4 linked regions of the Diceros bicornis minor genome follow. The main gene of each other region encodes a partner of the protein of the gene in region 3 in a complex. Links are inferred from orthologs where the notes say so. Each region holds a gene or a part of one and is shown on either strand. Other genes may lie near its edges.

What was found.
Region 1: the proteins of KL (region 3) and FGFR4 are in contact, whole or in part, in a cryo-EM structure (PDB 7YSW), measured with the Homo sapiens proteins. The link is inferred for Diceros bicornis minor from reciprocal best matches to the Homo sapiens genes KL and FGFR4. Residues at the interface, in NP_004786.2 of Homo sapiens: Ser539, Gln540, Phe541, Thr542, Asp543, Asn545, Val546, Tyr547, Leu548, Trp549, Asp550, Val551, His553, Ser554, Lys555, Arg556, Leu557, Ile558, Val563, Thr565, Arg568, Tyr571, Val573, Ala576, Gln579, Pro580, Glu625, Arg628; in NP_001341913.1 of Homo sapiens: Asp266, Gln282, Leu284, His286, Ile287, Ile289, Gly295, Ala296, Asp297, Gly298, Phe299, Pro300, Tyr301, Val302, Gln303, Val304, Leu305, Lys306, Asn311, Ser312, Glu314, Leu318, Tyr319, Leu320, Arg321, Asn322, Asp327, Thr332, Leu334, Leu341.
Region 2: the proteins of KL (region 3) and FGFR3 are in contact, whole or in part, in a cryo-EM structure (PDB 7YSU), measured with the Homo sapiens proteins. The link is inferred for Diceros bicornis minor from reciprocal best matches to the Homo sapiens genes KL and FGFR3. Residues at the interface, in NP_004786.2 of Homo sapiens: Ser539, Gln540, Phe541, Thr542, Asp543, Asn545, Val546, Tyr547, Leu548, Trp549, Asp550, Val551, Ser554, Lys555, Arg556, Leu557, Val563, Lys566, Arg568, Tyr571, Val573, Ala576, Pro580; in NP_000133.1 of Homo sapiens: Gln286, Leu288, His290, Val291, Val293, Gly299, Thr303, Pro304, Tyr305, Val306, Thr307, Val308, Leu309, Lys310, Glu320, Leu324, Ser325, Leu326, His327, Asn328, Val329, Glu332, Asp333, Thr338, Leu340, Phe347, His349.
Region 4: the proteins of KL (region 3) and FGF23 are in contact, whole or in part, in a cryo-EM structure (PDB 7YSH), measured with the Homo sapiens proteins. The link is inferred for Diceros bicornis minor from reciprocal best matches to the Homo sapiens genes KL and FGF23. Residues at the interface, in NP_004786.2 of Homo sapiens: Phe377, Lys385, Leu389, Glu390, Pro392, Trp417, Phe418, Ser420, Lys429, Tyr432, Tyr433, Lys436, Phe437, Arg468, Ser471, Ile472, Arg556, Arg693, Asn694, Met695, Thr696, Tyr697, Ile735, Val752, Phe755, Asp756, Asn782, Asn783, Leu785, Ile812; in NP_065689.1 of Homo sapiens: Leu39, Met74, Ala80, Val88, Arg91, Leu166, Ile167, Phe169, Asn170, Ile173, Arg175, His177, Asp184, Ser185, Glu186, Arg187, Asp188, Pro189, Leu190, Asn191, Val192, Leu193, Lys194, Pro195, Arg196, Ala197, Arg198, Met199, Thr200, Pro201.

Annotation. Positions count from the first base shown.
Region 1 is NC_080740.1:90,307,537-90,315,496, reverse strand, and holds the start of FGFR4 (fibroblast growth factor receptor 4), read right to left. Parts: upstream 3,011-7,960; 5' UTR 2,921-3,010; intron 298-2,920; exon of another isoform or gene 243-297; intron 1-242. UniProt on the Homo sapiens protein: Tyrosine-protein kinase that acts as a cell-surface receptor for fibroblast growth factors and plays a role in the regulation of cell proliferation, differentiation and migration, and in regulation of lipid metabolism, bile acid biosynthesis, glucose uptake, vitamin D metabolism and phosphate homeostasis.
Region 2 is NC_080747.1:1,167,752-1,175,166, reverse strand, and holds the start of FGFR3 (fibroblast growth factor receptor 3), read right to left. Parts: upstream 3,007-7,415; 5' UTR 2,866-3,006; intron 2,483-2,865; 5' UTR 2,381-2,482; coding exon 2,272-2,380; intron 1-2,271.
Region 3 is NC_080748.1:15,775,760-15,782,953, reverse strand, and holds the start of KL (klotho), read right to left. Parts: upstream 3,005-7,194; coding exon 2,186-3,004; intron 1-2,185. UniProt on the Homo sapiens protein: May have weak glycosidase activity towards glucuronylated steroids. However, it lacks essential active site Glu residues at positions 239 and 872, suggesting it may be inactive as a glycosidase in vivo.
Region 4 is NC_080756.1:57,137,426-57,145,250, reverse strand, and holds the start of FGF23 (fibroblast growth factor 23), read right to left. Parts: upstream 3,003-7,825; coding exon 2,807-3,002; intron 1-2,806. UniProt on the Homo sapiens protein: Regulator of phosphate homeostasis. Inhibits renal tubular phosphate transport by reducing SLC34A1 levels. Up-regulates EGR1 expression in the presence of KL. Acts directly on the parathyroid to decrease PTH secretion. Regulator of vitamin-D metabolism.

The sequences.
Region 1 (7,960 bases), on a different chromosome or scaffold from region 3:
CCTCGCTGCTCTGCCTTCTGCGCAATCGCGGGACAGTGGCTAGCAGACCCCCTCTGCCCTCATCCTTGTCCGTCCTCTGCACACCTTCCGATTGGTATTTTAAATACAAACCCGACTGTACCAACCACAACCTCCCCTCTAAAACCTTCCAACAGCTTCCTATAAAGATTCTTGACGTGACCTGGCCCTGCCCACATCTCCAGACGAGTCCTTCATTCACTTCTTCCTTGCTCCCACCCTACCTCTGGGCCTTTGCGCGCGTGGTGCCTGCTTCCTGGAATGCTCTTTCTCCTCTAGGTCTGGCTAGCTTCGTTTCGTTCTTAGGTCTCAGCTCGCTTCCTCGGAGAAGCCTTCTGGACTTGCCACCGTCTTCCTTTTCTTTTTTTCGTGAGGAAGATCAGCCCTGAGCTAACATCTGATGCCAATCCTCCTCTCTTTTTTGCTGAGGCAGATTGGCCCTGGGCTAACCTTGTGCCCATCTTCCTCTATTTTATATGGGACGCTGCCATGCGTGGCTTGACAAGCCTATGTGGGGCGCGCCGGGATCAGAAGCTGCGAACCCTGGGCCGCCGCAGCGGAGTGGGCACTTCACCGCTGCGCCACCGGGCTGGCCCCACACGTTCCTCTTTGGTGGCTTCTCTTCGGCGAGCATGGAGAAAGAAGCTGGGAGGGAGGTGGTTCAGATCACACATCGCAGGACTCCGATCTCGCACCATCACAAGTGGCTTTGGGACGTTACTCCATCTCTGTGTCTTCCTCTTCTCGGCAGTGAAACAGGTGTGATGATAGTATCCTCAAGAAGTGGTAGCAGGGGCCAGCCCAGTGGCGTAGTGGTTAAGTTTGCACCCTCCGCTTCCGTGGCCTGGGGTTTGCTGGTTTGGAACCTCGGGCACCGCTCATCAAGCCATGCTGTGGCGGCATCCCACAACCAAAATAGAGGAAGACTGGCACAGATGTTAGCTCAGGAACAATCTTCCTCACACACACACACACACACACACACACACACACACAAAATGGTCGCAAAAAGTAGACATGTTGGTATGTGTAAGCCTGTTGTTCTAAAACACTGCTTGACATATAGCACTTGCTTTGCAGTGTTAGCCGTGATTATTTAGGACCCATTATTTCTTCATGACACGTTCCAGAATTGTAACTAAAGAGTTAATTCTGTAAACAGAAGGCAGGAACTCCCTGCAGACCCCACCATTGTGTCTCAAGTGCCTGGCACACAGTGGGTGGGCCGGAATCGCTCTGTCCCACATGGCTCAGGTCTGCCTCACCTGGAAGCACTTGAGCATCTTGACAGTGGCCAAACAGGAGGCCAGCCAACCATTGACTTCTGCACAACCCTCACCTCAAGTCCCAGCCCTCTACTCCTCTGAAGGTTCCTTGAGGAGAAAGGAAACCCCTCCCCTGGGGTCTCAGGCTCCCCTTCCCACATAGCCCTCTGGCTGGTGGAGACTCTGCCCTGGGGGAAGCAGCTTCCGTTCCCATTGTTATGAGGAGAGGTCTCCGCTTTCTCCACTCTTACTCCCAATGGGATAGAGGATTTTCCTTTGTATGACTAAAAGGCGCATTAAAGTGATTTTCTTTTCCTTCTCAAACTAAAGAATGGCCTCCTCCCAAAGATAAATCAGACAATTGGCTAACTTTTAAGAACAGCTTGTCCTGATTCCCCTCATCCAGGGTCCTTCCTCACTGGAGCACTCGGGCAGGCTGAGGCTCCTGGCACTGGAGATGCGCAGCAAATGGGAGCCTCCTGCCCAGAGGGGCCTCGCCAGGCTTCCTGGACTCCTGGAGAGACTCAGCTCCCTGCCTCTGGTCCCTGCTGGCTCCCTTTAGTGAATGTGGTTGTTGGGGGTGGGTGAGCTGCCAGCAGGAGCTGGACCCTACACAGCTTTCATTCAACTTCCAGGCGCTTTCCCAGTTCGCCTGAGCCAAAGGCAGAGTAGAGGCTTTCATAGCCCAGGTCGTGCAACCTCCCTGCCCCCTGAGACACACAAGACCCTTAGACTGGCAACCTCACCCCTCCACCCCACATCCCCTGTTCAGCCCCCCTCCCACACTCACGGCCTCTCACACTGACCCTCTGCAGAGCCTGACGCTCTGTCACAGAGTCATTCATTCACTCCTTCACTCGTCTACTGTTTATTGAGGGTTCAATATGTGGGATGCACTGTTCTAAATCCTGGGGATAAAGCAGTGATCAGACCCAGCCTCCACCCTTCCAGGAGCTGCTGGCATTGTGGGGAGAGGTAGATAAGTAAGCAGAACCCAGAAGGAGGCATGCCAAGGCTGTCTGGGAGAGGAATCCTAGCCCGTCTGCCCGTCACAGGCTCACTCTTTGGTTAACAATCTTTCACCAGTTGCATTTACAGTCTCTCTCTCAAAGACTTTCACACACACACACACACACACACACACACACACACACCCCTAGCAGGGGTTCAGAAGCCTGCCATTCTAAGATCCTGCCTTTAGCCTGCCTCTGCCTCAGTTTCTCCATCCAGAAAATGGGCACACTCCTGCCCCCTTTTCCCCAGGGGTGTTGGAAGAAGTGAATGAGTTAAGAGGTGGGAATGGGTTTCACCAGAACAGGAAGTAGGGAAGAAGTCCTTGCTTTGACTGAGCTCCCCTGTATACCAGGCATCATACAAGGTCAGGCAGTATATGGGCATTAAGTCCTTTGATCTTCCCGTCAGCCAAATGAGGGTAGGAGTCCTTAGCTCTGTTTTGCAGGTGAGGAAACAGAAGCTCAGGCAAATGGAATGACTTGTCTGAATTCACATAGCAAGTGAACAGAACTGAGATTGAACCCTAATCATTTGGGACAAAGAGAGAGAGCTCAGGGTGACTGTCCACAGAGCTGAGACTGTGGATGCTAACACATCGGCCCACTTTTTGCCCCCATCCTTACCTGTGACCCTGGAAGGTGGAGATTCACCTGAAGGGGAGGGTGTGTGGAGGCTGCGGCTGGGTATTGCTCTCCCTGCCCATTTGCAGTACTGATGGGGCACCTATGAAGCACCAGGCCCGAGGCTCCTGGAATGCCAGGCCGGGCCAGGAGGGGTTCCTGAGGCCATGCCCCGCCCCTCACCTGCCTGGGAGCAGAGTTGGGGGGAGGGGGCCGACGTTGCCTGGTGCCTACTGTATTGCTCTTGGATGGCAGCCGGGCCCTGGAACAGTGCAGCTCTTGTGCGGAAGGGCTGCCCTGAGCCCCTGCCCGGCCCCGCTCCAGCCCCAGCCCGGCCCCAGCCTCTGACCCAGTCCTGCGCTTTCTTGTCTTCTCTCCTTCATTTCTTTCTTTTAAAACAATTTGTATTTTCAGAAAGTTTTGAAATATAGAAAAAGTTACCCAGGGTAATAGCATACAGTGGCTACTCAGAATTGACAGTTGTTATTACTTTACCATTTTTTCCAACCCTTTTCTATCCTGGCTTCTCCCACAGGCTCCGGGGGGGCCTGGCCTGGCTCATTAAAATTGAGGTGACGTTGACAGCAACTGAGTGGTGAAATATTGGGTGTTAGAGGCAGATAGATGTGGGTTTGAATCCTGAAAACTTTGTAACCTTGGACAAGTCACTTAACTTTAAGCTTCAGTTTCATTTTCTATAAAATGGGAATGATGGCTCTTCTGTGAGGACTCAGTGTGGTGCTGCATATAAAGCTTAATGCACACAGCCATGTTCAGTAAAGAGTGGCAGATATTCATATTAACAACGATGGTCCAGGGTGGGACCCACCTGAAGGTATGGGAAACTCACTCCTGTGACCAAGAGGGAAGAATGTGAGGGTCACCCTCTCCAGCCCTCAAATCTCCGCATTCCCCACCCCTTGGGCACATCTATGTCGAATTTCTACTCTGGAGACAACAAAGCCATGAATTGCAGGCTGCCCAGGGCATTGTGGTGGAGGCCGGGAGCCTGGCGTTGATGTCGGCAGCCTGGGAGAGCTCTTGGGGAGGCCCCTCAGAACAAGCCAGATGGAGGGGAATGGGCTAGGAGGGATCTGAGGCTCTCTCTGGGCTAGTCCTGGTGCTACCCAGCATCTCAGCAGCTCCCCTGGTCCCCTTGTTCCCTGGTCCCAGATACTGTGGGCCCATGTCCTGGCTTATTTGGACAGGGAGTGTCTGGGGCTTTCATGGTTTGCCAGACTCAGCTCTCTCTAGACTTGGGCCTACAAACCTCACATCCCCTGGATCTTGGCATGCACATTTGTTTGGAGGAGGGAGGGGGCCAGGACACCTGGGAAGTGGCAGAGGCTGGGCAGGAAGTGCTAGAGGGTTTGTGGTCTGAAGGGAATCAGGAAACAAGCCCCAGAGGGGCCCTCACCCTTCTCTATCTTGCCTAATGCTCACCTGGACCACATAGGATTTTGTTTGGGCACAAATAACAAGGGCTTAAACAAAACAGGGGTTTATTCATCCCTCACTTAGCCCCAAGTCTGGAGGTGGGTGAAAGTGGGTCTGAAGTCAGAGTTGCAGTCTCTTCAATTCTCTAGACTTTTCCCTCATGGTTTCAAGTTGGTGGCTTCAGCTCCTGCCATCACATTTGTGCTCATGCAGGAGGAAGAAAGAAGCCACAAAAGGGTTGAATCTGCACCCAGCAACTTCTGATTTTATTTATCTCCTTGGCCAGACTGTGACACATGGCCAGGAAGCATGTTTATTCTGCTGGACGCATTGCCTCCCCTAACAAAACCAGGGCTTTAATAGAGTAAAAAGAAGGATTGATTGACTGTGGGGCAGGCACCCAACAGTCTCTGCGTCACCAAGCTCATCAGCAGCCCCAATGGCTTCTTTAAATCACAGACCTAACCGAGTCAACCCTCAGCTTTGACTACTCTCTTCTCACCACCCACGGGCATCCCCAGCTCCTCAGAGCGGCACTCAGGGCCCCTGGCCTCTGCTGCTCTCTCCCGGGCCGTCTCCCCTCTCGCCAGAGACACGTGCTCTGTTTCCGGCTGCACTGAGCTCCAGCAGGCCCTCCTGAGCATGCCCAATGTTCACAGCTCTGTGCCTTTGCCCTTGCTGCTTTTGCTGCTGCCAGTGCCTCTCTGGCTCCCTCCAGCCATCCCCCCAGGTGCCTGCCATTCCTTTTTCTGGACTCCTCTCATGCATTCCTTCTTCTCTGAGACCCTCCCTGACCACCATGAACTGGACATCTAAACCCTCTTCCTCTCTCTGGAAACAGCCCCTCAATTTTCTTTGAGGTCCTGGCTCTCTCCTACTCCCAGTCCGCTGGGGTTTTGGGTGGAGCCAACACTTCTCCCTGGCTCCTATGGTGGGCATGTGCCCCTGGACTTGGCTAATGAGAAGATTCCATCCCCCAGGCTATTGTGATTGGGTCAGAGATGAACATGTGACCCAAGCAGGGCCAACGAGAGCCAGTCTGGGCCTTTTATTGGAACTAGTGGGAAACTAACATGCTCAGAGGTTACTGAGGTATGACTATGGAAGCCTAGAACTACTTGAGACAGCCTGCCTGTGAATGAAGCCAACACAGGAAACAAGAGGGCCAGGAGATGCAGCATGCCTGGATCCAGCCATGCCTGAGGCCAAAATTACCTCTTTGAACATTTCATTTATATGAGTGAAATAATTTTTTTCTTAAGCTAATCTGACCTTTTTTTTTTAACTCTATAGATGAAAGGCTCCTAAAAAGTGTCCTCCCCAGTAGAAATTACCCCGTCCTCCTCTGTGTCTCTACTATCCTCTGTCGGCTCCTAGGCCATAGTATTCATCTGTTTACATGTCAGCAAATTCATCATGTCATTGCTCTTATTTGTTTAAAAGCTTTCAATGCCTTCCCATTGCTTTTAGGATAAAAACTTGTATTAGTTATCTGTTACTGCATAACAAACTACCCCAAAACTTAATGGCTTAAAGTAACAAATATTTGGCCAGCTGTTGGCAGGAGACCTCCATTGCCTTTCACATGAGCCTCTGCACAGGGCTGCTTGAGTGTCCTCATGATATGTGGGCTGGTGCCCCTCAGAGCTGGTGAGCCAAGAGGAGACTGACATTGTGCTGTCTTGCACAAGTTCCTCTCAGAAGTCACACTCAATCATTTTCACCTTCTTCTAATTGTCAGGAGTGAGTCACTAATTACAGCCCTCATGGGGGCAGGGAATGGGGTAGGGGGAGAGGAGATGAAACTTGACTTCTTGAAGAGAGGAATATAAAAAATTTTGCAGACATATTTTAGAACCACCACAAGACGAGCTCTTACCCTGGCATTTGTCATCTGAACCCTTTTCTAGGTTTGGGAATATCCCCATTTTATGTGGCAGAGTTCACCTCTCATGACAGAAGCCGAAAATGCTAGCTACTCCTCCAATCTCTCTTCCAGCTAAGGCTCAGTTCTGCGAAATCATGGCATCCATTCCAGAAAACCAAAGATGCCCAGGAGTTGGGCTAGGGAGGCCCAGGAGGAATGTTCCCTGGTGGGGCCATGGTAACAGGACTGAGCTCTTGGGCATGGGGCACTGGGAGCCTGTCCAGTCTCCAGGCTGGCTGGGCTAGTGGTACAGGCAGTAGTGTCCAGTGCTTAGTGTTGGTGGAGACAAAGGTGTCCTTTCTGCACCCGTTCTGTGATGTGATACAGGGGGATGCTGGTCGTGTACCCCGACCCTAGTTCTTTAGTCCTCTTGGTAGTTCCGTGAACTTAAACAAGCTGGAGTTTGTTTCTGTTGCTTTTTGCTGAAAATCTTGATGTGTCCTGAGGAACTTGGCTCCTGCCAGTCTCTCTCCTTACTTGGTGACACACTATCCCTCCTTCCAGGTGAAAAGCATCTTCTTGCCTCAGGGCCTTGGCACATGCTGTTCCCTCTACCTGGAACATCTCCCTTCACCTCTCTCCCCTCACCCACCGGCTAACTTGTATTCATCCTCCAAATCTCAGTTTGAGTCACTTCCTCAGGGGAACTTTCCTGCCCCACTCCCAGCCTTAGGCTCAGTCTTCCTATTATATGCAGCACTTTATCACAATTGTAATGAGTCATTTGTACCCATGAGGTCCTCCAGGACAAAGATTGTCTCTCATTCCAGGGCCCTGACATACAGTAGGGGCTGAGGAAAAATAAATTCCCTTTCCCACATTCTTTAAGGACCTCTGTCTTACCCTAACAACTCTCTGACAGGGACTGCTCAGCCCTTATCAAACTCTCTGACCCTCAAGGAACATTTTCATTCATTTGCAACTCACAGATATCCCAACTCAAATGGGCTTAAGCAAGATAGTGAATTTATTGGGTTATACAATTTTAAAGTCCAAGAGTGGATTTGGCTTCAGGAACAGCTAGATCAAGACCAATTCTCTCTTCTGCTTTCTTCCCTATGGCTCTATTCTGTGGCAGATGCTCCCCAAGAGGTGACAAAGAAGGCTGTCAACAGCTCTGGGCTCAAGATCTTCCCATTTAGCAACTCCTTCCCCATAGTTCTAGCAGAAGCCAGGAAGGTAGAGGTCATCCCCACCCAGACCACATAAGCTGAGGGTGGGGGTCCTCAAGGTAATCCTATTACAGGAAGAAAGGTAAATAGATACCAGGAGGCCAAAACAAGATATGGTTACTATACTTGGTGATTCCGGGAGCCTTTATTGAATAATAAGCCATCCCCGAATGTAGTGATTTAAAACACTTTGTTATTGCTCATGATTCTGTGGATTAGCTGGGGTCAGCTCAGCAGTTCTGCTGGTCTCTCCTGAGGTCACTTATGCTGGTGGCTCCACTGTGCTGGAGGGTCTAAGATGGCCTCCTTCACATGTATGGAGCTAGCTGCTGGCCTTTCTCTCCGCGTGGTCTCTCACCTCCACGTGTTCTGGCCCAGACTTCCTTTCACAAGCGGCAAGAGTGGAAGCTGCAAGGTCTGAGTCCTACCTAGCCTTGGGCATTGCACAATGTCACATCACTGCATTCTCTCATCAAAGCAAGTCTCAAGGCCAGTCCAGATTCAAGG
Region 2 (7,415 bases), on a different chromosome or scaffold from region 3:
GGCTCAGTGCAGGGGCTCAGAGGCCAGAAGTCCAGCCTCGGGCTCAGCCCAGGTTAATGAACCACCCAGAGGCCTGTGGGGCTCAAAGTCCAGCCCAGATGAGGAGGGGGTGGGGGAGGTTGCAGCCAGCGCCTTCCCAGGAAATGCCCTGCACCCCTCAGAGACCCCTCCTGGCTGGGTGGGGTCAGACCACAGAGGGAGCCGCCGCTCATCAACCTTCCTGGTGGTGGGGGGCCCTGCCCAAGAACATGGCCCCCTGTGGAGATGGAGGCTGCCCTGGTAGGGCCTGGGATGGCCAACGCAGTGCAGTGGCGGACACCTTCCCTGCGGTCCTTGACCCCAGCCAGCTCCAGCTCCATCATTTATGTTTCCCGGGAAAGTGCCAGCCGGGACCTCTGTAAATTTCATGACGTCTTTGTATTTTTACTGCCTGGCCTGTCTCCTTAAGGAACCGGATTAAGTTTATTGACCTATCAACTCACTACCTGTTTTGCCAGCTCTACTGCAAAGGCGGCTGGGGGGGCGAGTTCTGGCGGAGGGAGAAGGCCCTGTGCCCCCTACCTGCGCCCCCTGGGGGGTCCTCTAGCAGCTCTGCCCCAGGCCCGCATCTGGTGGGGCACCACAGGCTTTGCGCCCCAGGACCCGGATTCGCAGGCTCTGTCAGTGCCCAAAGGGGGGATGGAGGGGACCACTGACCCCTCCGTGAGCCACAGGGGGTCCAGGAGAGGGTCTGGAGCCCCGCCCACTGCCCCCTCCCCCGGGGCTAGTTGACATTCCTGGACGGTAGGGAGTAATATCTTCATCTGAATGCGAATGCTAATGCGGGGCTCCCCCCGCGGCAGCCTATTCTGCGCCCCTGGAAGCGGGGGCCGCCCGAGCAGGCGGTAAAAGCGCGCGCTGACCTCCCGACGGCCCCTGTCACGCCGCTGAATGACACGCACATTCAAGCGCCCGGCCCACGTTCATTCATAAAAAAATGACATTGTTTCGGAGGCTGCAGCCGCCGCTGGAGAAAGGGGCGCGGGGGCGCGGGGAGGGGCGGGCCGCCATCTGCCTGCGTCCTGCCCGAGGCCACCGCCTCCCTGGCACTGCGCGCCCGCAGCCTCTCAACTCACACCTCCCCGTGAGGCTGCCGCGGCGGCCGCCATCAATGCTCGGTCTGTGGCCGCGCCGAGGTACAAAGAAGCGGCTGTTCGGGTCTCGCCCGGGTGGGGCGTGCGCTCACCAGGCGAAGGCCTCCCTCCACGCGGCCGCCGGCCCGGCAAAGGGGTGCGCGCAGCACCCTCGCCAGCGCCGGTCCTCCCAGCGCCCCGCGGCTGGCTGTGCCCAGGGGCCAGGACGCCCCTCTGCCCGGCCGCCGGGAGCCTAGCCGCGCGTGTGAGAGGCGGCACCGGAGCGCTCGGCCGGGCCGGCGGGGGGCCGCGTGCGGCCGCACCTCGAGGACCGCGGCGCGTGTGCGGGGCGGGGCCCGGAGCAAAGACACGCTCCCGCCCCTCCCCTGCCCTCGCCCCGCCGGCCCTCCTCACAGACCCTCAACGTCCCGCCGGACCTTGACCGCGAGCTGGGGTCTGCGGCTCCACGTCTCTCGGACATCCGCCCTCTCACCTCCGGGCGCCCCGCCTGGCGTTCGATGCGCACCCCCAGGCAGCAGACACGTTCATCCACAGGGCAGGAGAGCAAGGTGGGGAAACGGAGGCACTGGAAGGTGTCACCTCGTCATGCAGGCCACTGGGGGGCAGGGACCAGGCCGTGCGCTGACGCCCTCTCATACCCTCCCTCCAAAGTCCGGCCTCAGGCTTTGGCCGAAGCTGGCCATGAACTGGGGCTCGAAGGGGGTTCGAGGGAAAGGCACCAACAATAGGAACTTTCCGTCAGTGCAGAACCCGCCGAGCAACAATGGGAATCCTGGAGACGCAGCCCCGCGCCCTCCCGACGGCGCCTAGGGACAGGCTGCGCCCCACTGGGGAACCGCGGGGGCGGGGGCTGCGGACGCCACCGCGGTGCCCAGCTCCCCGCCGCAGCTTCGAACTTGGGTGGTAGCCCTGCGGCTCCAGGCGCCCCACAAACTGCCGCGCCAGCTCTGGCCGCGATCCCCGGGGAGGGAGGGTGGTAGAAACCCAGACACTGGTCCCGTGGTGCCAGCCCAGGGCGTGCCCTCGGGCCCACTCAGATCCGGCGCCCCCCATCCACCCAGGCGCCCGTTCTCGGGCCCAGACGCCTCTGCCTGTGAGGCCCCAGGCCCCTCCCTGCACCCGTCGAGTCCTTCCTTACCTGCCGCTCTCCGCACGACGCGCTGCTCCGTGCCCGGGGGTCCCGAAGTGGCGCCGGTCACGACGGCCACAGCCACGCAGAGCGCGAGGGCGCAAGCAGGGGCGCCCATCGCGGGGGCGGGAGTTACGGCGTCTTCAGGCGGCGCGCGCGGGCATGCTGCCCCCCATGGCCCGGCTCTGGCACCGGCGGGAGGAGGGCGCCGCTCGGGAGTCTGCGGGAGGAGGCGGGCAGCTCGTTACCCAGGCGGGCCGGAGCGCTCAGGGGCGGAAGCGGCAGTGGCCCGGCTCCGGAGCTCCGGCCCCTCCGACCCCCGGCCGCCCCGCCCGCCGCCGCCGCCCAGGGCTCCCGGGCCGCCTGGCGCCGGCCGCCTCCTCCCCGCCGCGGTCCCTCCCTCCCTCCCCCTTTCCTCCCTGGCTGCTGCAGAGCCCTCCCAGGGCGGCGGCGGCGGCGGCGGCAAACTTTCCAGAGCGGGAAGCCCGCGCCCCGGCCGGGCCCCGCCGCAGAGACCGCTCGGGATCCGAGTCCGCCGCGCGCTCTGGCCCCGCCGCGCGCCCGCCGGACCTCTCCGCGCTCGCCCGGCCCCCGCGCACCAACCTGGCGGCGGCCGGCGCCCGACTCGCTGAGCGCGGCTCTCGCTCAGGCTCGCTGCCTGCCGGCCCAGCGCCTGCTCCCCGTCCCCCGGCCGTCGGCTCGCCGGTGTGTCCGTGCGCCCGGCTCAGCAGGACCGCGCGGCGCCAGCTGCCCGCGCCGCCGCCGCCTCCGCCGCCGCGCACTGAGCCCCGGCGGCCCGGCGCGCGGCAGCCAGTGGGGGCCGGCCCGCGCCCGACCCGCCCCGGCCACGCCCCTCCCCGGCCACGCCCGCCCCGACTCGCTGGGGCACGGGGACATGCCCCTCCCCTGGGGCGGTCTGGGGGCGGGGCCGCGACTCTCCTTGCCCCCGCCCGCGGAGGGGATTAGAGGGGGCGGGGCCGGGCGGGGGCGCCGGGCGGTCTCGGAGGGCGTGGGAGCCCGAGCTGGGCGGACGAGGGCCCCAGTCGCACCGCTGGGCCGCGCGCAGAGGGCGGCCCCGCGCTGGGCAGGCGCACAGAGAGGCCGAAAGCAGGCCTCTATTTGCACAGCGCGCAGTCCAGGTTACCACCCGCCGTGGGTCAGGGGCTCAGGCTGGGGAACCCCGGGGCATAGAGAGGGGTGGTCTTGGTGAGAGAAGCATGTCAGAGAGGCTTCACGGAGAAGTACCTGCTCCAGCTGAACCCTGAGGTGTGGGCAGCCCATCTCAGGTGGAGGAGCGCAGGACGGCACCCGGGTCGGGTCGGGGGAACTGTATATGCAAAGGCCTGGGGGTGAAGGACAGGTCGGCCTGTTTGCCTGGGGCTGGAATGCAAGGGGACTGCACCCCAGAAGCTGTGGGCTCACTGCTGCATTTATTAAGCACCTGTGGCACACATGTAGCTAAGCTGCTTGAGTTCTCTGCCAGGGGGGTTATTACTCCTGCTCCCCTAAGAGGAAATAAGTTTGGGGATTGGGTGCTTGCCAGGCATCAGAATGGAGAGCAGGGGCTGGGGCCCCAGCTAGGGGAGGCCAACCTTAGGGCTCTGAGGAAGGACAAGGTGGGAGCCTGAGCTGGCCGGAGGTGTGCCAGGTCCTGGTGCACTGCAGCGTGGGACAGATTCAAGCTAGGGAGGACTCAGTGTGACTGGCCTCTGTGCACACCTTCACAAGGAAGAGGGCTCTTCTCCCACTTCCACACAAGCCCAGGGGGGCTGGGAGCCTACAGGAGCCAGAGACGGGAGAGAGTGACACCTGGGCAAGGCTCGGGGCTGCCCCACCCGAGGGCCTCTGGCCCACCTGGCTTGTGGCTTTTGGGACTTGGTTTGCTCCTCAGGAAATGGGCAATGAAAGCCTCTCTGTGACTGGCTGCTCAAGCCACCCCGCAGCTCCAGGCGCAGCAGCCGTGCGAGAGGCCAGCCTGGAGACACTCCAGCCTCTGAGGCCAGACTGGAGGGCCCTAGAAGGACCCCACCCCCAGGTAGTCCTCACTCCTAGCCTCTGTGCCCACCTGGCAGATCAGCACCTCTGCCATATGCCGCTCTTGGTGCCTGCTCTGGTCAAGCCTGTGTCCCCCAGACTGGCCAGGGGCCTGCTGAACCCCAGTGGGCTGTCCAGACCCCTCCAAGGCCACCCCCACCTAGGTCCTCTCCTGGGGTATCATCCCAGGGGCCACAGTGGCACATTCTGCTCTAATCTATTAACCAGTCACTTAACTAATCAGTTACTTAATATGCCGATGGGTGTGGACTGCTGTCCCTCTTGGCCCCCTTCCTCTGGGGGCCTGGGTCAGGTTTGCCCTCCAGATTCCTTTGTGGCAAGATATAGCCTGTGGTGGGGCAGGGAGGAGGGGCCACCTGAGGGATGGTCTCCCATGGGACCCTTCTGAGGCCCAAGAAGGGCTCTGCATCGTCCGCTGTGGGTCCTCTCCCAGGACGGTGCCCACAGCCCCTGCCTGGACCCCCTAAGAAGGGTGTCCTGCGTGCCCTGGTCTCTCAGAGATGAGCATCCATCCATCTTTGTGCAAGCAGCTTTCTGCTTCATGGCCCTCAGTTCTGTCTCCTTGGCAGAAGTGCCCATGGGGGATCGTGGGCCTGTTCTAGCTGTTCCTTACGTGCCCCCCACCCCTTCTCCCCTCCATCCCCACAAGCCTGACCCCACACACGACATCGCAGGCTCCCTTGCTTTCCAGCTTCTGTGTGGGTTTGTCCACTTGTGTCCTGTTCCCTCTCAGGCCTGCAGGGTAGGGGATAAGCCTCTCTCTTCCTCCAGTAACAGGCCTGGGGTGACCCCCCGGGTACTTCACACCCTGTATTCTTTTCCTAGGGCTGCTATGACGATTACCACAAACTCGCTCACAGTCTGGAGGCCAGAATTCTGAGATCAAGGTGTCAGCAGGGCCGTGCTCCCTCTGGAGGCTCTAGGGGAAAGTTCTTCCTGCCTCTTCCTGCCTCTGGTGGCTCCAGGGGTTCCTTGGCTTGTGGCCACATCTCTCCAATCTCTGCCTCCATAGTCACTCAGCCATCTCCACTTCCTGTCTCTTATAAAGACACTTGTCATTGGATGTCAGGCCAACCCTGATAATGCCAGATGATCTCCTGTCTCAGGAGCTTAACTTAATGACAGCCACAAAAACCTTTTTTCCAAATAAGTTCACTTTCCCAGGTTCTGAGGGTCAGGATGTGGACCTATCTTTTGGGGACCCCCACTCTGTCCTCCATATACCCCATGGTGGCTGGTTCCTTTGGTGCCGCCCACAGTCTGAAGTGGTCCAGGGGCACTGTCTGGTGGCATTTAGGTCAAAGGTCAAGAGCATTTTCATGGCTCTTGGCTGATTCTGCCAAATTCCTTCCAAAGGGTCTGAGCACTGCCCGTTACTAACACCCAAGGAGTTGTTGCCCACTTTGTGCCCACCCCCACCACCAGGGGAGGGCATTGCTTGAAGGCATTGTTATTGTTATTGACAAATGATTTTATTGTTCACAATTATTGTTTCCAAGGCAACATGGTCAACTGGAATGGAGCATGGTGTTGTTTCACAGGCCTTCCCTTGACATCGGGGCGAGGCCTGTTGTTCATGATACCTTCTGCACCGTTTCCAATTTTGGCAATGCTTTCTATCAATTAGCCATTAGTAGCCACTATTTGCTCAGAGCCCCCTTGATGGAGCATCTCCCCCAAGACCCTTTGCAGTGTTACCTGGCTCTGTCTTCCTGGCGCTCTGCTGAGATGGGACCTCCTTGGGCCCCCTGGACAGGTGAGCAAGGTGTAAAGGGGGTGGAGAGCCTGCTGAGGGCCAGTGGTGGTGGAAGGGTCCCTGGGTTGGCCAGCCCTGCCTGCAAGGGACTTCCACACTGCCTGACGCCCCTTCAGTGTTCACGTCTCCCTGTCCACTCCCCCCACACCCACCCCGTCTCCCAAGGCCCACACCCCCTGGGTCCTGAGTGAAGGTGAGTGTGGGAGGCTGAGGGCGCGGCAAGAGTCGGGGGGCTGACCGGCCCAGCCCGTTGGTGACTCAGAGCTGGGCGGCCCAGCTTGCTGGGGCCTGTGCGGTGAGCGAGAAGGGGATGCCGTGGGAGGGGAGCGGCTGCAGTGTGCCGAGCACAGGGGTCATGGCAGGCTGTCAGCAGCCGGCCAGCATCCACACCTCCTCACCTCCTGCTGCCGGGCCTGGGCTGATGCTGAGGACGTGGCAGTGAGGTGTGCAGTGGGGACGTTCCTGTGTGGCTGTGAATCCACATCCCACCTGCTATCCACAGCACTCCTGGTAGGCAGCGGATGTCTTGGTACCCGATGGGTGCCCATCAAGGCCAGCACTGGGCCTGGCACGCAGGGCAGGGGGAGCCCCCAAACAAAGCCTCCAACTCAGCGCCCCATCCGGGATGGAGTGCCTGGCCCAGAGGTGGGGCTGCTGTGGGGAGCTTCCCTCTGCCCTGTCACAGGCTGAGTGCAGAGATGGGGGAAGCTGAGGCCCCAAGAGAGCTTCAAGTCTCCTCAGCCCAGTCCACCCTTCCAGGAGGCTCTTGGGACCCCCCAGGAGGGCTGCTCGATCTCCTTCTGGGAGCGCCCCATCTCTCAACATGCATCCCGGCCTTCTCTGGAAACCACTGCTACCCCTCCTGCTGGAAGGGCACAGGGCTGGGCCTCAGGGAGGGCAGGCTACCACGGGATGGAGGGGGGGGGCCCTCAACACCCCCACTGAGCTGGGCTGGCTGATCCCCTCCCGCCAAAGAAGAAAGAGCAGATTGGAGAAAGGCTGTGGCTGTTGTAATTCGTGCCGTTTTAATTTACTCTCAGAAAATTTGAGGAGGATTAAAATAAAAAGCACAATTGATTTGCTCATTATAACAGAAATGAAATTTTAAAGAACATGAAGAAGAGAAAATATTCCAAAATCTGTTGGCCAACACTAGCTACTGTACAAGATCCTTAATTTTAGCTCTGAGCTTCCTGGCAGGCTGAGCAAAAAGGGCAACACCATGAATCATGTGCTGTTGGGATGCTGTCTTCTTGGATGTGTTGTGACAGCCTCAGTCCAAACATTCTCGCCTTTTTGCGCCTTGGTTCACTCAGACTGCGAGACCTCAGATCCTGCCTTT
Region 3 (7,194 bases):
ATCTAAGCCCCCGCTAAAATGCTCTATTACCAAAATCTGCAGATCATGTTTTATCTTTTCAAATAAGGTCAAAACTTCCCTATCTCCCTCCCCCCAACACATATACCAAGAAAGAACACTGAAAACAGGATGAAAATATCTCATACGAAAAAACTAAGATACCTTCTTTGATAATGAGAACTTACTTCTTCCTAAGATACAGGAATGACTAAATTCCAAACCAAAGAAATTCGAAAGCAAAATTAATATTTTACAGCAACTAGCATTTTGTTTGCAGCATCAGCAAAACCAAGGATCCACTTGTTACTAATTTCTTATGAATACAAAGTCCACTGCATTTCTGGGAAAGATGGTTAGTGTTTGGCAAGTTTTTTCTGTAAGGATACAGAAATATAACTGAAAAGTTAATCAAAGGGCCGAGAGTGGGCACACGAATAAAAAGCATGTTGGCTATTTAAAATAGCAGAGTACCAGAAAGCTCCTCAGTCCCAACTCCTTATCGTATAAATGAAATGATCACATAAGTCACTATAATAACAACTGACGACTTCCGTATACATACAGAGTTTATTACATGCACTCTAAAAAGAGAATTTGCATGACTTAAATCTAAAGTAGTGATTTTGCAGAAATGGTCTCTTAGGTCCTCCAGCTGGTCCACAAATCTCTTATTTGTTTCTGGTATGAACTGAAATTTGCTTATGTTTTCTTCAAAAGAGGAGCCAATTCTTCCCATAGTTTTTCTATCATCAACGATAAACAGGTGGTGTTTGGAGTCTTGATTCTTTAAAAGGACTGACAGACTGAAAAAGTTTATTACCATTGCTCTAAAGTATCTTAATGAAAAGATACATATCAAAAGGAAATCACTAAAATCACATTTATTTTTTCATCAAAGTCCAACATTCTTTTATGATCTGTAGCAAACAGTTTTTGTGGAGCTAACATACAATCTAATTTAGCCATTATTACAACATTACCGGCAGCTCAGAGCACTAAGTCAGCTCAACAGCCCAGCACTGTTCTGCCTCAGTTACCTATGGCTTCAATTATAAGTGTGCAGAAGTGGTCTTTGTCTTGAATTTGTTCAAAATATGTAATTTAATTCTAAATTTAAAAATAGGTCTTCCAGTAGGCCCACAAATCACCAAAATACAGTACCAGAAGTTACCCATTTAAAGTTTCATGCAAATGTCTGCACATACACATAAAATATTCTCTCATGATACAAAACTCTATGAAGTGTACCAACACTGACATTATTATAAATGATCCCCCAAATCAATGGGACCTAATCTTGAACACTAAGTAAAGGAGAAAAAGGAGGAAGAATTATTTGAGAGACAACTTTATCATGGCATGTCAGTACTTCCTGCTGTCAAAATGTATTAAGCCTTTTACACAAGGGTGTTAAAATCAATTTTGTCAGCTAATAATCTCATCCCCGAGGAATCCTTTCAATTGGAGAGAGCATCCTGGAAATACAGTTGTTGTAAGACACAATCTACATTACCCTGTAGCTGTTTCTGTATTTTTATGGCTAGCTTTGCTTAAGAATGTGTAAGGAGTCTTCAGACTCCTGATGATTCAGTCAAGTTGGTGGATGCAGCAGTCCCCTGCCACAGAAGGAACTCCCAAAGACAGTTTAAACTCTCCCAGAAGATGGGATTTTGACACCTTCGCATTTGCTGCAGTGTGAACTTGTGCCACAAGCAACACAGATCTTACAGGATTTACATTGAACTCATGACATCACCACAAACTCTAGCAGAGTAATGCTATTTGTGCGGCTTCCGAACAAACTCGTGTCTTTCATCCCTCCTCATCTCCCTGTAGCTACTACTCGTAAATTCTCCCCGCCTCACCTCTAGGAATTCCCCTAGACCCAGAGAAAGGAGCTCCCTCCTCTCACTGAAGAAACTGATTCTAATTTCTTTTTGACGAATGTGCGCCAAAGGGCACTCACTCGCGCGCCCAACGCGGGATCTCCCTCCCATTCCCAACTCCACGCCTTCCAAGGGAAGCCCAAGCTGTTCATTTCCCCTCGGGGGGCAATTCTAGGTGACCTCACAAACTTGGTCAAATGGAGCCTTGTCTGAGCTGGAGGCTCAGGCACCCCTCTTGCCCCTGGCGTCTCCAGGGGCCCTCTCCCCGCGTGACCCTCCGCCTGGCCCCTCGAACTCACCAGGAGGAGGTTGTGCGCCACCAGGTACCCGAGCTGCGGGCTGCCCCGGACGCCAGGGGCCAGGCGCCCTGTGGCATAGCCGTGCCAGGCCACCACGTAGGGGTTGTCGATGGTGATCCAATACTTGACCTGGCCGCCGAAGTGGCGGAAACAGAGCTCGGCGTAATCTCTGAAGTGGTCGGCCAGGGCGCGGTTGGCCCAGCCGCCGTAGGCGTCCTGCAGGCGCTGGGGCAGGTCCCAGTGGTACAGGGTGACCACGGGCTGCACGCCCAGCTCCCGCAGCCGCTCCAGCAAGCGCCGGTAGTAGCGCAGCCCCTCGCGGTTTGGGGCGCCCGCGCTGCCATTGGGGAGCACTCGCGCCCACGAGATGGAGAAGCGGTAGTGAGTGACCCCGAGTTCACGCAACCCCTCCGTGTCTCGGAAGACGTTGTTGTAGCCGTCGCTGGCCACGTCCCCGGTGGCAGGTGGGGACGGCGAGGGGGCGCCCGTCGGTAGGCCGGCTACCAGGGGACCGCCTAAGGGCGCCGGGGGTTGGTGGGTGAACGTGTCCCAGATGGACGCGCCCTTGCCGTGCTGCTGCCAGCCGCCCTCCGTCTGGTAGGCGGCGCTGCCCACGGCCCAGAGGAAGCCGTCGGGGAAGGTGTCGTGGATGAGGCCCGCGGCCTCGGGGGCCGGAGGGCGCGCGAAGCGGGCCCAGGTCTGCTCCCCGTCGCCGGGCTCGGCGCGCAGGCGGCGGCCGCCCAGGGCCAGCAGCAGGAGCAGCGGCAGCGGCAGGGGCGGCGGCGGCCGCGGGCGGCGCGGCGGGGCGCGGGCGGGCATGCTGCGCGGGAGCCGGGCGCTGGGGCGCCGCGCTGCGCCCCTTTATGCCCGCGCCCCGCCGCGCCGCCCGCCCCCCGCCGGCGCGCCCACCCCCGCTTCCCCGGCGGGCCCTGCTGACAATAATTACCTGCGAGCCGGCGCCTCCCCTACCCTGGAATCGGGGGGGACGGGCTGGGGGAGGGCGGGGGCGCAAAGGGCGATGGGGTGTCCCGGGAGGGGGCGCGACAGCGGGCAAGGTGCAGCAGGCGCCACTCCCGGACGTCGGAGAAAAGGCACCTGTTCCTCGCTGCGCCCGGGAGCCGCTGAGGATGGCTCGGCGACGCAAGTTCTCTCCGCGCCGCCTTCTCTCTCCCATCCGCGCTCCTTCCTGGAAGAAGCCGCGGAGCCGGTGCGCGTCGAGGAGGGAAGGCGGCCAACCAACTTGCCCCGAGTTGGGCGCATCTTTGCCTGCCCTCGCGGAGTCCGCCGGCCGGGAAGCACCTGCTTCCTCTTTTCTCCCACTCGGAGGCCGAGAAAAGCTTTAGATCGACATTGCTAGAGCCGATTAGGAGTTGGCTGAAAGCGTATTGGGAGGGCACGATGAGGAGAGCTAGGTCGGAACTTGGAATGTTGTGAGAGGACTCGTGGCGGACTTTCCCTTAAGGTCTTTGGGTCAGATGCTCGCGTGGGGAGCCACCCCCCTCGCGCAGGGCTGGATGGCCCGTCCTCCAGGCTCCAATCTAGGAAGCCTTGGAGTAAGACAGAGGAGATGTATGGGTTGTGTTGAAACTTTGCTGTACTGTCCTTCTTACTCTTATCTTTTAACCATTTCAAACCAGTACTTGTTCTTGAATTAGATCTTGCAGAATTACTTGGTGAACTTCAAATGACAGTTGTTGATTGTTCTTCTAAAAACAAACAAAAAACAAAACACCAAGGTTTCGACTTTGAGTGACTGTCATTCACATTTATTATCCTTTTGCATCTGTTTTATGAATAATCACGTTTTAGCTTTCAGCAAGTAACTTATCTGGGCAAAGTTGTGCACGCTGCTGTGCTGGAGCTGGAGGACCCTGGATCCCACGTATGCCACCGGAACTGTGAAGGGAAAGGGGCGGAGGGATTTAGCCCAAGCAACCACGCCCACCCTTTACGACAAAACAGAGTCGTGACGTTTTTCCAGTCGCCAAAGAGCGCTTTTGACAGAAGTTACGGAGGCACAGCGTCCATTTGAATGTGTGTATATAAGATTGGTGAATAACTGATGTACATTTGATGAGGAGAGGAAGGCCTGGACTTCGCCTTTGTGGATACAGTCTCTCCTAGCCTTAGGATCCTCATCTATACTGTGTCTGCTCTGCCACCTTAGAGGCTTGTGAAGCTCAAACGAAAAAAAAAAAAGTGCGCAAAGATGCCCCAAAATGGAAAGCGCAGATAAATGTGAGATCTTGCTACTATCTTTGCTTCTCTTTCCAGAACGGTGTGCCTCAGTCCGGCACACGTGCTCATGTGTTGAATGACTAAGATCCTCACAGAGGTACACCCATTTTCCTCCAGTGATCATCTCTGCGCTGTTTCATACATATTTAAAATCAATAAAGTTTTAAATGTTGCAGATGAAGGTACTTTTTAATTTCCTTAAAATGTAAGCACAACAAATGTGTTCCAATATTTTATTAAATATTGCCATCTCCAGCTAGCATATATTAGCATGATTAGTAAGATTAAGCCATCAGGCTGGAACAAGACTTATTGCTATTCTGTTACATGTGACATTTACATTTTTCAATAAATATGAAATAACAAACAATGACACTTCAGCAATTAAAAAAAATTACACCACACAACTGCACAGTCACAAACACTCTCTTCCAGCTAAATTAAAAAGCTTCTATGTCTGCATGCAGAATCATATTTCCCTTCTAGAGCTGAAGATGAGAATGTTTGCTGCATAGTAGCTTGTTAAGTTTCAATTAGAAATGCTTCATGGGTCTCATGGAAAATACCTTCGGCTAAGTATTCATGAATTGATGTATGGTCTGTTGGCTCAGGGCAGATTATATCTACGGCTACTTTTATTTAGCATATAAAATATAATAAAATAAATATTTTACAAGAATAAAAAAAGAGGATTTTTTTTTAGAGCAGTGATTAAAAAGAAGGACCAAGTTGACTAAACGCTTCACACTTGAAGTTCATCTCTCTGAGGGGGATATAAAGTACATGTATCTCCTAAGTTGGACATCAAAGCTTTCAACATTTGCAGAGATGTTGCCAGGTGATAGTTAATTTAACCCAATAATAAAGATTACATGATAATTAAACTTTATTTCCAGAACTTGCCATTTTTCAAGGTTCAGTTCATGGTTATTAAGTCCTGGATTCCTGAAGTGTGAATAACTGCCACTACTGCTTCTCATTTATTCGGTTTACTTTGGTTCTTATCTCTCACAGCCACCTCAAACATCTAAAATGTGGGTTTCATTCAAAGCTTTGTTCTCCCACAAATAAGAGATTATTACTTGCTGTACTTTGAATATGAAGATGAGATTATTGATGCATCAAAAGGAAGGAAATTTTTTAAATTAATTTTCTTAATTGAAGTAACATTGGTTTATAACATTATATAAATTTCATGTGTACATCATTATATTTCGATTTCTGTGAAGACTACATCATATTCACCACCCAAAGTCTAATTGCCATCCATCACTGTATGCGTGTGCCCTTTTACTCCTTTCACCCGCCCCCTTCCCCCCTTCCCGTCTGGTAACCACCAAGCTAATCTCTATATCTATGTGTTTGCTTCTTGTTGTTTTTAGCTTCCACATATGAGTGAAATCATACAGTATTTGGCTAGGAAAGGAATTTTTAAATTTACTTACTGCCTTTTGTGGTGTGATGATGTTCAACAACCTAAAGGTGGTCATCAGGCTGACCATCATCCACATTCCTTCCTCTAGGCCCTTTTCACCCGTTCTTCTCCTTGTGCACCTGGGACCACCAGACCCCGCCCCTGCAGAGGGAGCAGAAGGAGGTTCGCTGACTCACATGGGCCCAAACACAACACCAACCACACGAGCTCTCAGCTCACCAGTCACAGACATTCAGCATCTATGGGGAGGTACTGAGATCGTCAACAGCAGTCTCTCTGAGCAACAACCATGCGCAAGGCAACTGGGAGGTGCTTAAGATGTCAAGACATAGACAACAACCCCTGCCCTCAAGACAGTCCTGGATTGGAGACACAGGACAAAGAAAGTTGTTAACAAATTAATTGTTTAGTTTTTTATGTTGAGTGTTAACAAAAGACACACATGCTAGCTATTAAAGAAATTCAGAGGAAGGAGAAATTACCCTATTTTGAATTGCTTGGAAAAGTTTCACAGAGAAGATGCGACAATATCTGGGTTTTAAAGAGTAAAACTTGCGTGGAGACCTGGAGGCAAGGATAATAGGGAAGCAAAACATGGCAGAAAAAAGTTTTCACAGTGTATTTGTGGTAAAAAAGAAAAATAATGTCTATTTGACTGTGCGAGGAAATAGTGGACTGAAAAGGTAGGTAGGGTCAAACCAGAAAGAATCTTCAGTAGTTTTATCATTATATCACATCAGAGCCTCTACCTTCATTTACTCATTAAACAAATATTGGCTTTGTGCCAAGCCCTATTCTAGGCACTGGGAATGGAACAATTAACAAGAGACCAACAACCTCTGCCCTCCTCTTACAGCACACTCCCCACTGTCTACTCTGATCCAGATACACTCGCCTCCTGGTTGTCTTTGGAACAAGCTAAAGTGGCTCCCAACCTCAGGGGCTGTGACTGGCTGTTCACTGTCTCCAAGGTGCTGTTCACTGGACCACCTGCTTTTCCTTGGTCAGGTGTCAGAGCAAAAGCCACATCCTGAGAGCAGCCTTCTTTGACCTCTCCTTCCAAATTAGTTACCCCCAGTCTCTCTCAATGACAATGTCCTGTCTCATTTTCCTCACAGAGCTTATGACTATCTCAAATTGTTTGTCTACTTGTTTATTTCCTTTATCCCCAACTAGAATGTAAGCTCCATGAGAATAGGCATCTGGCTTTTTCTTTGCAGTATCTACAGCATCTAGAATAATGCCTGCACATTGTAGGTGCTACACACATATTTGTGGAATTAATGAATGAATCCACTGGTAAGAGATGGCTGAAGAACATTGTCAAGAATTGTGA
Region 4 (7,825 bases), on a different chromosome or scaffold from region 3:
CTCCTTTGGTTGTCTTGAGGATGTAATGAGATAATATTTTTATCCACTATAAAAGCACTTTCTAAATGCTAGAAATGTCTACTGTTGCTATTTCGCCTCAACCTCTGCTATAAAAGTAGAAATTTATCTGCCCCTTTCTATTCTCATAGCCAGTAAATGATAAATAAGATGATAGATATAAAGTGCTTTGAGCTCCCCAAAAGAAAGAGCCCGAGGATAATTCAGCTTCAAGTAAAGAAAGTGCCAGTGGGGAAGGTCGAGGAAGTAAAAACATCAGGATCTAGGAAGTGTATTAACCAGGGGTAATAAGCATCTCCTTTCTGCCGTTTCCACAAGGTGAGAATGACAGGGCGTGGGAGGGCGGCCTCATTCATAGTGGGCAGCTGACATAGACACTGGAGCGGCTCCATGACATCAGCGCTGCCAGTCCCAAGAGAGGTCCTGGAATCTTGTAGGCAGATAATTTCACAAAACCCAAAGATGATTAATCAGGAATTTACTAAAGCACCATAATCAAGTGAACCAGATTTCACTGGAAACTTATAATTAATTAAGGGGGAAAAATCACCCCACATCTTTCCATCAGTGTAAATGCATTGTTTTACATTCCTTGGGGAGAATCTTTCACCAGTCTGTTAAATACTTGTGCCACCCATCTATACGCATCAGTGTTTCCTCTTTCCTTTTTTGGTAACTTTTTATCTTAGTGTATAAATTTTTTTTTGGTAATACACATGATAACTGATTTGAATAGTACAAAAGGTGTTATAAACTAGGAAGTGTCTCCTTCCCACCACGCTGACCTGCGTTCCCCTCCCCATGTTTGTGTTAATTTCCAGAGACACAATGCTTAGCTAGTGTCTATACCTGACAAAACAAAATCACATTTCTGTAAAAAAAAAAAATTCTGAAATCAGTTCAATTCATTTTGCTTCTTCTCAGTCATTTTAATTCAGTCCAACTAGTCCTTAGTGCCTCCTCTGGGCCCGACGCCGGTGGATATTTGAGAGCAAAGTTCTACAAATCAGTACCACTCACAGCCCACACAGCAGGTTGCACTGCTGTGCTCTTTGTCTTGTTCAGGAGGACATGTCTTTGGAGGGTTCCTTTCAGTGAAGGGATTCCATGATTCTAGACAAGTATTATAAGCATTCTTTAGTTGTATGAAGCCCTTTCCATCTATGGGAATCACAATAATTTACCACAATCCACTATCCCGCATTTTAAATCACCTATCATCTTGCAGTGGAAGCAAGAGTGGCCCTCCAGGCGAGGTGCAAAATTATATTTCCTAAAAGTCTGATAATAAGCTGGGAGACAAGAAGGGATGAAAGATCGTGAGGTGTCTGAAGGGCTGTGTCTTCTTGTGCAGTCACAGAGCTTTGCACAATGTCAGACATATTGGAGGTTCTGTTAAATATCGATGGAATAAAAGGAGCAACACTTTGGATGCATCGAATGTATCCAGACTTATTGCTAATGACTCGAACTTGGCTTCCAAGATGTTGACTCTAGAATCCTAGTATATCCCTTTGAGTTCTGGAACCCACTTGGTATTTGGAAATACCTTTTCTCCCTCCTCTCATCTCCTATGACCATCCATTGAGCACCCGGACGGGTGTGAACTCTTGGCTTTGCATGTGCATATATCTTGCCACCAGGTTTAAGGACCTTTGATTCTTAGCAGAATGAATGCCTTACACAGAAAGGCCACAGCAAAATTGCTGATTAATTCAGTACAACAATAAAGAGCAAATCATTATTCCTATAAGAAGTTTTCTTTAATTAAAAGACTATGGTTACTCTTTCATTACTTTAATTTGATCTATATTGAATCAGTTTGCATTTTTCTTATCCTTAGAGTGATTTTTAGATGTTTTCCTAAAATAGAAGACCTTGTCTTTTTCAATATCTCTCCCCCCGCCCACCTCATTATCCCTTATATAGGTGCACACCAAGGGGCCCTCATTTGAATCATAGCTAATTGATTGATTATTGTGGATTGTGATCCAACTTTCCACAAACCTAATCTTGAAAACATTCCAGTTGTCTCATGTTGCCAAGGTGTTCCCAACTAGCTCAATTTGCTACCGAGTGGAACTTTCAGCTCCACAGAGATGAATCACCAACTCATACCAAACTGGGTACTTCTGAAGCCCCCAGTAAACCTGTTGGATGGAAGGATGCATGGATGCATGGACAGATGAGTGCATGGATGATTCATGCACTTGGTCAGGCTCATCAAGACAATATACCTGAACAGTCTGTCTTTAGTACATTTTTCCTGAGAATTTTTATAAGGCTAGAATACTAGAAGCTCAGAGTTGGAAAGAGCCCCTGAGTTCATCTATTCTAACCCTTGGTCTGATACAGGAATCTTCTTTACAACCTCCATTGCTAACCCAGTCCAAAGTTCATGAGCTAAAACGGGATGTCTATTGATCTACCTGGCTTCTTTTCCTCTCAGCCTCTTTGCCTTTCTTTCTGTACATTTTTTGACTCTTTGGACAGGACAAAGAGAAAGTGGCTGCTAGTGTGGGAAGAGGGATTTTTGTTAAGATAGAAATTATTCATGTTGGGAGAAACCAGTAAACACTAATTAGGGATGTGGCAGAATCTTCTCCCAAGGTGTAAAAATACACACACACACACACACACACACACACACACACACATACATAAGTGGATCCTGGGCAAGAAACTGGATTAGTCTTCTGGTCCAGCCCAAGGCAGCCCCAAGTCCATTGTAGCTGGATGGACAGAGGAGCTCCCCCTTCTTCCCAGCCTGAATGAAGCCCCTACTCACTGTAGATGGTCTGCTGGGGTGTGCCATCCACATGGCCGTCCTTGTGGATCTGCAGGTGGTAGCTGTTCCTGGCTGTGGCCGTGTACAGGTGGATCAGGCCAGCCCAGCTGGAGCTGAGCAGCGGGGAGGCGTTGGGATAGGCTCTCACTACAGAGCACAGGATGCAGACTAAGAGCCCAAGGCAGGCCCCCGACATCGCCACTCTCTGAATGGCTGGCACGGAGTTTGAAACCTGACACTGCCTCCTCCACTCAAGGCTGTGCCTTGCTGGCCTTTTCTCCTCTTCTTCCTTGTGGATATCTGGCGTGAGGATCCTAGGCTGGATTCCCTCCTTTTTCCCCTTGGACTTTTAAAGGGTAGCCGTGTGACATCAAACAGGAAAAACTCCACTGTCCACATCCTCTGTGTTGTAATCAGCCCATTTGGAGAGAGTGCAGAGACCTCTGAGGCTCACGGAAGGCACGTCGGTTCCAGACACACACACACCCCTCAATTTCAAGCCAACGCTCCAAAAAGTGAATGATGTGTGGGCAAAAGTTATCTCGGACTCTGGATTGTCTGTTGACCTGTCCCAACTTCCACCAGGAAATGTGAAGGCAGTCAGCGGTTCCGAAAAAAATCCAGCTTCAGCTATGCAGTCAACTGACTTCTATGCAATTAATCTCCTATTGAGTCTACTCATTTTGGTTTTCTCAGTCCTTTTAATTCCAATCGGGGACTATGTATCCAGTGCTCTCTCTGTACACAGCACTAGGTGGGTGTTTTGAAGGATACTGAAATAATACAGGACACCATCAGGCAAATGGCATCCTCCAAGACTGCCTCCTCATAAAGATATGGAAGCTGTGAGCAGAGGCACAAAAACCAACGTTGCCTCCTTGGGAAGATTTCAAAATGGGAGGAAAGAAAACAAGGTCTTGAAGTCACTGCTGCTTTATGAAATGCTGGGATTTGATTTCTCAGTTTCCCTAATTTGGACTGTCTAGGGAGAGTAAACTGCTCTTATTGTCTCTCCAATACTATGGAGACTCATTCAGAGACCTCATGAAGATTGGAAGGCTGCTGACGGAGCACAGGGGATCAGAGACCAGGAAGGTCCCAGGAGCAGAGCAGCAGGCCAGGATGTCCCCACAGTTAGTGTCTACTGGGTGCCTGGCTCCTGGGCCTGGATGCTTTCTTGCAGATGCTGCTCACAGGTATGCCCTCTGGGAAGCTACTTCTGATGTAGGGGGATAGTCCTAGCACATGCAGTCCAACGGGGAGCAAACTACTGGAACACATACTGGAAACGTATATGCACACGGAGACTGCTACTCTACCCATTTCCCATTTGCTGAGTACATACCATGTGCAGGCATCAGGCATCATGGTTGAGAGAAGGGGGAGCAAGATGTGATCATTGCTTCAAGGAGCTCACAAGCTAATGGAGGAGGCAGATTAAAATAAGTAACCGTCATACAAAGCACACTGGGATGTGCGATCACACAGGTGCAGGCAAAAAGAAGTGCCATTTGTTATCCTACATTTGTACGAGTTTTTCTAGTTTATGAAGCATTTTCACATATATTAGCTCATTTGAATCTCACTGCAACTCTGTGAGATAGGCACACCAGGCATTATCAATATTTTAATCTTATACATGAAGAAATGGAGATCTTGGGGTTTGTATGTCCAAAGTCACGCAGCAAATAAATGGGAGAGCTAGGACAAGGTCTTCTGCAATAATAATCACAGTGACAACTAACATTTACTGAGAGCTTACCAGGTGGTTTACTTGTAGTAACTCATTTAATCTTCATAACAGCCCTGTGAGGAGGTGCTGCTGTTTCCTTTACAGAGACGAGGAAACTGGTGTCCACAGTTTAAGTAACGTGCCCACAGGTGTGCAGCCACTATGCAGAAGAGGTCGGGCCTGAAGCTGGGCAGCCCGACTCCAGAGCTCCTAAGCACCGCTGGATGTATAAACCCACACAGCGTGTTAGGGCCGAAGCCGCGAGAGCCAGGAGCCTGGTAAGAGAGTGCAAGGAGCAGCGGGGCCATTGACAAACCAATAGTACTCTTTGGTTTTTCTCTAGTAAAACCAGGATGTGTCTCTAAGATACAGAGTGTTGTCTCCCCCGGTTAGGTAGAAGATTTAGGACATTTAAATGCTTATGTATAAGACAGTCTTCTTTCATAATGGTCACAGTATGGTTCATAAATATAGTACCACATCTTAGCTAACGAAGAAATAGCCAGCTTTCAGAATTGAAATGCAAATCATTCAGGAACATTTGCCAATTGATACCCCTACATTTCCTCTTCTGGTTTCGAGTGGTAGAGGTGGGAAGTACTTGTGAAACAATCAGCACGTATTGAGAAACTTCTCCGAGCAAGAGAGAAGGGAAGAGGGAGTTATAGGAATAAAAAGCAGAACAAACTTATCCTCAAGGGGGTTATAATACAATTGAGCGGAGAAAAACTTGGTTCAATATAAGGCGCTTGTGAGAGGAGCTGAATTACTAGATGTGTAAGAAATGCTAAGGGCGTTCAGAAAAGGGGGAGTTTTCGGTGGGTGGACACTGTGGTTAAGGAGGGCTTGGAGGGAAGAGAGACTCGAGGGAGCCTTGTAGGATGGACAGGCAGGGCGTTTCCCAGCACCCCAAGGCACGCTGGGGCGGGAGTGCAGGTGTCTTGGGAGGAGGGCATGGGCATCGTTCCATTCCTGGGCTGATTGAGGGGGACCGTCCCTGGCCTCTTCAGCTTGTCTTGTTAGGAAAGAGAACTGATGTGCCAGCTTATTCCGCTTCCAAAGACTTCCCTCCAGGAAGAAGCCCTGAATGCCTAGCAGCCGAATCTGAAGCAGAGGACAGCCCAGGGGAGCAGGTTTATTTATGAAGGGAATGGGGGAGGAGAGAAGCATTCCCCACTTGACGAGAGTAAAAGAAGGTACAACACTACTAGAATAATTCTTTCCACCTGAGATATAGGAAATTGAGAGCAGAGACGAGGATTTGCCTGTCAGCATGCAGACAGCAGAATTTCCAGCTCCTGGTTGAACTCCCTACCTGAGGGTTCCAAAGCTGGCTGCCCGTTAGAACCACAGAAACTACCCCAGGACTAATCTTAGACCTACTGAACATGCAGAGGTGAAGCCCAGTTATTTGCACTTTTTTTCAAATCTACCTGGGAGAGTCTAATCCCCCACACTAGATGTTAATGACGCTAAAGTACTTGTCAAGAAACAGACTTTGCATCCCAACCATGCACTGGAATTAGTACACAGAAACCAAGGCCGCTTCTCCATTTGCCACTCCCTTCTGGGATTTCCAGCCTAACTGGGCAGGGTAAGATGTGAACGGTCCTTTCCAGGAAATTTTAGTACTGAACACCAAATCAGTACACTGTGCCTTTGATCCTTGAGCCTGGTGGGTGTGGCATCTCTCAGAAGCATCAGATGGTGAGGGAAGGGAGGGCCCAGGGTAAGTTGGTTTCTGTTCTTTGCATCTAGAGGGCATTCATCTGTCACAGTTCAGGTCGGAGGATCTGGGAGCTAGTGTGACCTTAGGAGCCAAATATGAAACACTGACGGGAGCAGGAAGCCCGGGGAGGAGGCTGGTGGTTTGTGGTTTTCAATATCGCTGGCCTTGGGGCCCTGGTGGCTGCCTGGGAGGTGGCAGGTGGGGACACCTGCTCTTCTCCAGCCTGCCCCACAAGCCACTGCTCCGGCTTCAGGAAAATTTGCCCTGGGGGGCTGCGTAGGGGCCTCTGGTCCAGTCCCTGCATTTACAACCACAGAATCAAGGCTTTAAATATGGGATGGAGGCTATAGGAATCTATATTCCCACAATCCCATTCCTTTCCCTTATCCTCTGACTTCTTTCTCTCACAGTCCTCTCTGGGAAGGTACTAAGGATTATCTCCCCAGATCACATTCTCTCCATGTGAAGACTTTTCAACAATTTTCAAAATATAACGTGTCTTGACTGCTGTGAGGCTGTGATGAAAACATGTTGGAGGCATCAGGGTGAAAGAGCACCGGGAGCAGGGAGGTGATCTTAGGGTGGCTCACGGTTTCCTTTTCTTCTTGAGGCTCTGTGTGAAGGCTCCGTCTGCAGATGGTAGGACCTGGCAGGCCTCTGCTCCCTATTGCGACCTCGTCATGCTTTGTCTCCGTCATTTCCACAACGGTTTCACCGTCATCTGGCTCATCCGGTCCCTAGGTTCAGGCAGGTGGGTGTCTAAGCCATCCAGGACAAATGATTGTTTCCTCTCTTTTCAAAGTTATCTGGGAGGTGCTACAGTCTTCCTGAAAATGCCACTCCCATATCTTATTCTCAGTTAAATATTCTCAGTAATTAAATACTCTCAAACATTTGCTATTCTTATTAAAAAAAAAAACCTTTTATGCTCTGTGTGAAGTGTAAAACAGGTGGCAACGTTTCGTGTTACACATTTGAGAATCGAGGCTTATTTTAAAAAGGGTGAAGTAAATAGCAGTAAAATGCCTAGCCTTCTCATCAACAGTCATTACCGACCTATCCGTGTCAATATTCATAAACTTACCAGATAACTGGAAGTTTGAGCCTGGTGGGTTGCGGCGTCTTACCAGAAGCTGGTAATATGATTATTAATTTATTAATAAATTTATTTCTTAATTATAAATTTATTAATAAATTAAATATTACCATGCAGTATTTAATTTATTTAACTCAGTTAAAATGTGCTTCCTTATATGCAATCAGATTCTTTCTTGTTCTAATATATCCACTCAATCAACATGTAACTATTTAGAGAAAGCCTATTTTTATGGCTAGTACTTTGTAGAAAATCTTTAGAGAAGCCTAAGAATGAAAAAGTACAGTCCTGGTCTTCCAAGTGTTTACAATGTACAGGGCAGAATTTAGTGTGGATTTGCCCAGCCCTTCACAACCTACAATGCACATTCACACCTAGTGTCTCATTTGATGCTCAAAACAGTCCTGGGAGGTGGACTAGGAAGTCTAGACCCGATACCTCCCGTGGGGTCAATCTCCTCCT